Mus musculus: one gene and its partner. The protein of the gene in region 1 purifies or fractionates together with the protein of each later gene. This does not show direct contact. Links are inferred from orthologs where the notes say so. Each region holds a gene or a part of one and is shown in the gene's direction. Other genes may lie near its edges.

What was found.
Region 2: the proteins of Birc3 (region 1) and Bcl10 purify together in Homo sapiens (affinity purification with western blotting; 5 studies listed by BioGRID and IntAct, with this or other methods). This does not show direct contact. The link is inferred for Mus musculus from reciprocal best matches to the Homo sapiens genes BIRC3 and BCL10.

The regions. Positions count from the first base shown.
Region 1 is NC_000075.6:7,852,646-7,856,207, reverse strand, and holds part of Birc3 (baculoviral IAP repeat-containing protein 3), read left to right. Parts: intron 1-1,601; coding exon 1,602-1,841; intron 1,842-3,562. UniProt on the Homo sapiens protein: Multi-functional protein which regulates not only caspases and apoptosis, but also modulates inflammatory signaling and immunity, mitogenic kinase signaling and cell proliferation, as well as cell invasion and metastasis.
Region 2 is NC_000069.6:145,922,949-145,927,099, forward strand, and holds the start of Bcl10 (B-cell lymphoma/leukemia 10), read left to right. Parts: upstream 1-1,313; 5' UTR 1,314-1,510; coding exon 1,511-1,567; intron 1,568-4,151. UniProt on the Homo sapiens protein: Plays a key role in both adaptive and innate immune signaling by bridging CARD domain-containing proteins to immune activation.

The DNA.
Region 1 (3,562 bases):
GCTAATAGAACAGGGTCTGAAGGAGAACGTGAAGAGACAACTGTCTAAATCTGGGGAACACAAAAGGCTTTCTAGGAGGCCAAATGTGGCAGCATCTGTCTGGGGCAGGGCCAGCAATCTAAGTACTTGGAGGGTTAAGGCACAGGGTCATACATTCCTAGCCAGCCGGGGTTATACAGTGAGTGGCCAGCCTGGATAACCTACTGAAACCTTGTCTTAAAAGAACAAACCAAGGTTGGCAGATGACTCAGCCCAGGTTGTAGCCCCTGGACTCACATGGTCGAGGGGAAAGCTGACTCTTGAAAGTTGTCCTCTGACTACCCACGTGCCATAGTGCACACATTCCTTCTCAAGAAAGAAAGAAAGAAAGAAAGAAAGAAAGAAAGAAAGAAAGAAAGAAAGAGAGAAAGAAAGACCCATAAAATAAAGCAAACTAAAAACTGAAAAAAAAAAAAGGCACTCTGGAAGAAATACTTATCTTAGTAGAGAGCCCAAGAACAAATGGAATCAGTTAACTGACAGGGCAGAGCATATTCTGGGCAAGACAACATCAGAGGCTAAGCAACATGGAATAGGGACATTCAAAGAACAGAGCAAAGATTTTGTCTAGCCAGAAGAGGGAGCTGCAGACAGGGAATTATGAGGCCAGCTTGCTGAATCAAAAGCTATCAGTTCCTGAGTTCCAGTGCAGAGTGCAAGGGGCAAGTGCCTGAGGCTGCTTATGGCCTGGAAGTAGCAAGAGGTGAGGCAGAGAGTTAGATCAGAATGTAACCACAGTTAGATTTGAGATTTTTATGGAAGGCTATGGCGTTCAGTTTGGGGAGTATGACACCAGGTTTGCACTTTAAGTGGTTGGGTTGTAGTGTTAAGTAAGCTGGAAAGGGGGTGGGTAGCACTCTGGGACACTGGGGTAGCCAGGCTGAGGCAAGATCCTTGTCTATATGCTGAGTCCTTGACCCTCACAAACAAACAAAAAGAATGAAAGAAAATTACCCAACCATAAATTAAAGCGTGAAACCATGCCACTTGCAAGAAATGGAAAGAACTAGAAATATCAAAGTATGTGCTGCGTGAATATGAATATACAATTAAAACATTGTAGACAACTAGTAAATACAAACAAAAGGAAGCAAATATGTAGAAGTATATATTTGCTATAGAAAGCACATTAGTTTATTGATTATAGAGAATGAAGCCCCTGATTCTAGTGGAATGCCTGGGCATTCTCTGCTCTCTCCTCTTGAGTAGAACTAATCACAGACTTGAATCTAAAGGCAATCGTATTTTGTATTCTTACTTCAATGGCTGAATATATGTCATTTTAAAGTTAGCAAAATGCATATTGTATAGTACCTATTTATTTTTTATTTTTAATGGGTTTGATATTGCTATAACTTTCTATTTAAAAAGTATATGAAGCCAGATATGTTGGTTTGTGCCTAGCACTTTCTGAGGCAGGAGAATTGGCATGAATTTGAGATCAGCTTGGAATATATAATAAGCTTGAGGCTAGACTGGCCTAGAAGGATTCCTAAAAGAACAACCACAACAAAAAGATGCATGGGCGCTGCTAATATCTGTTAAATCCCCTGTCCATATAGTCGTGCATTTTGGCCCTGGAGAAAGTTCGGAAGATGTCGTCATGATGAGCACGCCTGTGGTTAAAGCAGCCTTGGAAATGGGCTTCAGTAGGAGCCTGGTGAGACAGACGGTTCAGTGGCAGATCCTGGCCACTGGTGAGAACTACAGGACCGTCAGTGACCTCGTTATAGGCTTACTCGATGCAGAAGACGAGATGAGAGAGGAGCAGATGGAGCAGGCGGCCGAGGAGGAGGAGTCAGGTACAGAGTAACAAGGCCTTTCCCTGGAGAGATGTGCTGTCGCCCACGCGAATTCGAAAAAGATGCCCATCTACTCAGCCTGGCCTGCCTTCCTTCCTTTCTTTCTTTCTTTCTTTCTTTCTTTCTTTCTTTCTTTCTTTCTTTCTTTCTTTCTTTCTTTCTTTCTTTCTTTCTTTTTTAAAATGTATTTATTATTGTAAATAAGTACACTGTCGCTGTCTTCAGACACACCAGAAGAGGGCATCTGATCCCATTACAGATGGTTGTGAGCCACCATGTGGTTGCTGGGATTTGAACTCAGGACCTTCAGAAGAGCAGTCAGTGCTCTTACCCGCTGAGCCATCTCGCCAACCCCAGCCTGGCCTTTCTTATGTTTCATATTCTAAATTCAAACTCTGTAAGTAAATTCTTAACAATAAAGTGCATTGTGGAGGACTAGGGAGACGGCTCAGCAGGTAAGGGTGTTTTCTGGTGAACCTGACCGCCATAGCTTGATCCCCAAAACCCATTTGATGGAAGGGGAGAACTGTTGACTTTCTCTCTCTCTCTCTCTCTCTCTCTCTCTCTCTCTCTCAAAATACATCAGGATTGCTCATTAAATTAAAAAATGTGTATGTTGAGCCTGTTAACATATTTTTTTAGATTTATTTATTTTTATTTTATGTGTATGGGCATCTTGCCTGCATGTGTCTGTACAATGTCTATGGAGGCCAGAAGAGGGCGGAGGATCCCCTGGAACTAGTGTTACAGACAGTGAATGGTCAGTTAGCAAGTGGGGCTGGGAACTAAACCCAGAACCTCTGGAAAAAGAGTCACTGTTCCTAACCACAGAGCCATCTCTCCAGCCCTGAAAACTTTGGTTTTTTTAAATTTTTTTGTTTTGGTTTGGTTTTTGGTTTTTGTTTTTTTTGAGACAGGGTTTCTCTGTGCAGCCCAGGCTGTCCTGGAACTCACTCTGTAGACCAGGCTGACCTTAATTAATTTAAATTTTAGGATGAGTTGTTGGCTTTGCCTATAATTACTCATGGAGCTTAAAAACAGAAACAAAAAAAACCCCAAACTCCAAAACAATCACACTATATGTATGATTTTTATTTTATGCGTGTGTACACAGATCTTCTCAATTAATAAGCCTCTATGTTTTCCTCTTAAAGCACAAATTATGCACTAAGGAGCTTCATACTACTATTATCAAATCAGTTCTTAAATTTTGAATAGGTGTATATGTGTTTGGAGGGGAGTGAGGGGGCTGCCATGCCATGCTAGGCCAGATAGATAGAGGTCAGAGGGTATCTTATTGGAGCTAGAACTCTCCTCCCACATTTTTTGGATTCCAAGTGTCAGAGTCATGCCTGTCATTAGCCTTTAACACTGAGTGATCTCTGCACTGAGCCAGCTCACTGACCCCAAGCACATTCTTGATCCCAAGATGGTTGCTCATTCCCTTTCTTATCAATTGAGATGGATTCTGGAAGAATTATTAATCTGAACATGTCTCAGACTATAATGTTTTAATTAATGTTTAACTTATGTGTGTATGTGTATACCTGTGTGTTTTATGTGTACAGTGCATATGCAGGAGCCTTTGAAGCCTAGACAAGAGTGTAGCTTTCCGAGAGGAGGATGTGGGCCATCCCTCCAGCCTCCCCTCACTCCACCCCTGTGAGACAGGGTAGCTCAGACTGGGCTTGAACTTGCTATGTAGTTGAATCCTGATCTTC
Region 2 (4,151 bases), on another chromosome or scaffold:
TTCCTGCTTATAGCTGGGTCAGATGCAAGCAGTTGGTTGGCCAACACAGCTAGCTAGCTTGTGCCACCACACCCTAGCTGGAGGACAGAGGTGTTTGATTTGCTAGAAGAAGATCTGGGTGTAGTTCAGTAGTTGCCATTCAACAGATGGTTGCTACAGGAAAGAGCAAATGATTAAGCAAATTGGGTTATAACAAGACAACGGATGACTAAGGACACAGGAAAACACTCTAGTATACTAGACATCAGCGTAAAAAAAGACCTGGCATAATGTAAACACCAAGATTCCAGAACTCTGATCAAAGCTACAGAGATGTGGCTTTAAGCCTCTACTGGTTCTTTTGTTTTAGATAAAGATTCCTGTTGCCTTTGGTCCTCTTGACATTTCAGTCTACACTTGCAGATTTACTTCATCGACCACATAATCATTTTCTGCCTAGGACTCTATGTGGAGCACCTCATCCACTAGGACACGTTTTGCACGGGCTACGAGTTAAAATATCGTTCTGAAAATAGCCATTTGGCCTCCAATAAACAACTTCCCCATCAGAGCATCCCTAGAATTTACTTACTGAACAGAGATAAAGGATAACAATAAGAGAGTGTAACTGTGTACCAAGTAGCTTCAGAACCTTAAATATACTCCTAGAGGCCCTAGCTTTTTAAATTTGTCTCTACTGCATAGATTAATAAGGAGAAATGCTTCTAATGAATAGAGACTTAAAAGTACCCAAACACTACCTGTGCTGCTAAATTGATGGGATTGCAGGTAATTTTTAAATCTTTTAACAGTTTTTTTTTTTTCTTTGTGTTTTGTCGTTTTGTTTTCTGCTCTCAAGATCTCCTTGCTCCTGTCTCCCTAGTTCTAGGTGGTAAATGGCAGTGGCCCCCCAGAGCAGGCCCTCAAACGGAAGTTATGTGTGCGTGTATACATATACGTATGATCACGCAACTGTAAAACCTGGCTCAGCACAACAGGAAATTGTTCCGCAACATCTGGAAAAGAGAAGCAAACCAAAATGCTCTGGCCGACTCAGCCCACACTCCACCCAAACGAGGAGTCTGCGAAGGCGGGGAGATCCCGCTAAACTGAGCGGCCAGTGCTCCGCCCACGGAAACAAATCCTTCAGGCGTCCAATCCGCAAGCCTATGTAAATGACAAGGGGGCGTGGTTAGAGGGACGCCCGCTGTGGGCGGAGCCACTGCGGAAGCAGAGACGTAACCGAGGGTAGTACTGATTGGCTGGCACGTAGGTGGGTGGGGCCTGCAGGCAGACCCGCCTCGCCGAAGGGTGGTGCCTGAGTTAGGAAGAACGCTGAGCGCGGCACCGCTGGCCCCAGGGGCGGAGCCGGAAGTGGGGCGTTGAGGTCTCCACCTCCTCGTCCGTGAGCCGGCCGTTCCCCCGCTTCTGTTCCTAGTCCCCCCGAAGTCACAGCCTGATTCCCGGAGGCCCGAGCCCTTAGTCTGGGCGGGGTGGCGCGGGCCGGAAGGACGCCATCCCGGCCTGGGCCATGGAGGCTCCCGCACCGTCCCTCACGGAGGAGGATTTGACTGAAGTGAAGAAGGACGTGAGTAGCTCCGCCGGGCTGGGCGCAGCGGGGCGCAGCGGGGCGGGCGGGCGGAGGAAAGCGGAAACCCGGAGCTGAGCGACGGGGAACTTCAGGTCGGAAGAGCGCGGGGTCCTGGCACAGCACGACCTGCCTGCTTCCCGGGAGCTGGCTGGAGACGATCCACCAGCGACCCGGGAGTCCGCGGTTAAGCCTGTCGGTGGGCTTGGATGTTTCCTTGCCATCCGCTCGTCGCTGGTGGCTTTCCATCCTGCCGATCCCCCATCCCACGCCACCGCCGCGGGAGCTGCTAGCCTAGGGAGCCGCCGGAGTGTGCCCACAGCGGGCTTTGGACCAGGCATCCCCGGGCGTAGAGCAGATGGGTGAAACTGGTCTCTATCGGGGGCTGCGGAAAGCTCGCCAGCTGAACGCACGCCCTGGAATTCCCCGAGTAATCAGACGCCCACGTATTTAAATGAAGGGGGTGTGCGTACTTCTCGCTGAGACTTGGTTCCCAGGTAAACGTTGAAAATACTCCCGACTAAATTGGACTCTTCTGCTTAGACCATGTAGAACTTCACAGACACAGTAATATTTGAGGAAATGGCTTTAACCACAACGTGCTTCGTTTTTTTTTTCCTTCCTTTTAACTTCTTTTGCCAGAAAAAAAAAAAAAATCAAATGAGCACAACTTAGATAATATACATGAATTCACATTAAAAACCGGTAACTCGTTCTTACTTAGCACCAAAATGCTGCCGAAAAATCGTCTTTACGAACTTAACCTCAAGTTGTTGAAGATGTATGTGTGCTTCAGACCCCTTTTTCTACCATACTTACCCCTTGTAAAGTTTATTGCGCTGTGCCCATAATTACAACTGATAGAGCTAAGTACCAGGAGGGAAAGGTACGGCCAGGATAACTGCCATAGTTTCCGTGTTCAGTGGAGTTGGTAGGGCACCTGCTGTATGGAAAGCTACACATTCTACTTGAAACAAGGTCTTTGATACCCACTATAGTCCTTAAGAGGACAGTAAACCCTAAGTGTAAAGTCTGGGAGCTCTGTTCCCATGTTCCACAGTTTTGAATTTTCTCACAATCATTAAAGTACCTATAAGGAGAGAATTGCTTTTCATTTTATAGCTGGCAAAACAAGACAAGACCTGTCTGTAGATAGGGGAGGAGAGTGCTGCAGGCCTTTGTTTCTGCTCCGGGGTTCATTGACGTCATCCATCCTGACAGTTGCACGTTAGACCTGTGTCAGATGTCCATAACCTTAGAGAGACTACAGAGAAGCGTCAGGGTGTCTATAAAAATAGTGTTCCTTAGATATTCACCCTATTATTTTTGAAACTGCTTATGACAAGCTTAAACATTCATCCGCATTATTTGAATCTCCTTTTTTTCTCAACTCCAGGACTTTATTTCCAAGTCTACCAGAACTCAAACTATAATTTCATACATTTGGCTGTTGTTTTGTTTCTCTGTAATTCTGACTGTCCTGGCACTCACCTGTAGAACTAGCTGGCCTCAACTCCCTTCCTCTGCCTCCCAAGTGTTGGGATTAAGGCATGAGCCACCACTGCCTGCTATGTTCTTATGTTTTCAAAACTTGAACTTTTCATTATCCTTCCCCCAAAACTGCTTGGTGTCCCTTCTGTATTATCTGTCTTGATAAATGGTGGGAAGTTGTTTACATGAGGCTGTCTGTCTGTCTCAGGGTTTGCTTTCTGTGGCTTCTGTTGCCTGTGGGTCAGCTATGGTCCAAAAATATTTAATTATTTAATGGGAATTTGATACGGTTATAGTGATACAAATTGAGCACTCTTCTAAGTACCGTGACAAAATCTTGTGCCATCTCACTGCATCTAGCCAGGGACACGAGTCTCACCTTTTCCCCAGTGTGTGTGTTACCTGCCTGATATCCTCTTAGTAGTGAGCTGTCTTGGATATTAGATTAGTTTTTATGGTGGAAAGCTTGATATGGGGTTGGTACCATGAGGTTTTGCACATCCATAGAGAGTCTTGGTCCATGTCCTCCCATGTTAGTGGGGAGCACAGGCCTACTGCTGGTCCCCAGGGCTGTACATCTTCAGCGCTGCTCCTGTTTTCATCTGTTTATTTAACACACCCTCATCTTGTTAGAACTTGTTTCCTTTTAACAAATAGAGGTAACTTTATACTCTGAAGTTGATAATGTAATACTAACAGTTAAATTAAGGACTAAGGAACTAGAGAGATAGCTCAGCAGTTAAGAGCGCTGACTGTTCTAACAGAGGTCCTGAGTTCGATTCCCAGCAACCACACGGTGGCTCACAACCATCTGAAATAGGATCCAATGCCCTCTTCTGATGTGTCTGAAGAGAGAGCAACAGTGTACTCACATACATAATATAAATAATCTTTAAAAAAAAGAACTAAGACAAAATTCTGTTTTTTACAATAGCTCAATTTCTTGATTGAAGAAAAGTAACCATGAACTGATAACTTTAAACATTATAATAAAGTTTCCATCCATCCAAAGCACTGCACTCTGAAATGCAGAGCACACAGCGGTGGACAGAATGTTTGGGGGTTGCCTCCTTCAAACATGTAGGCCATTAAA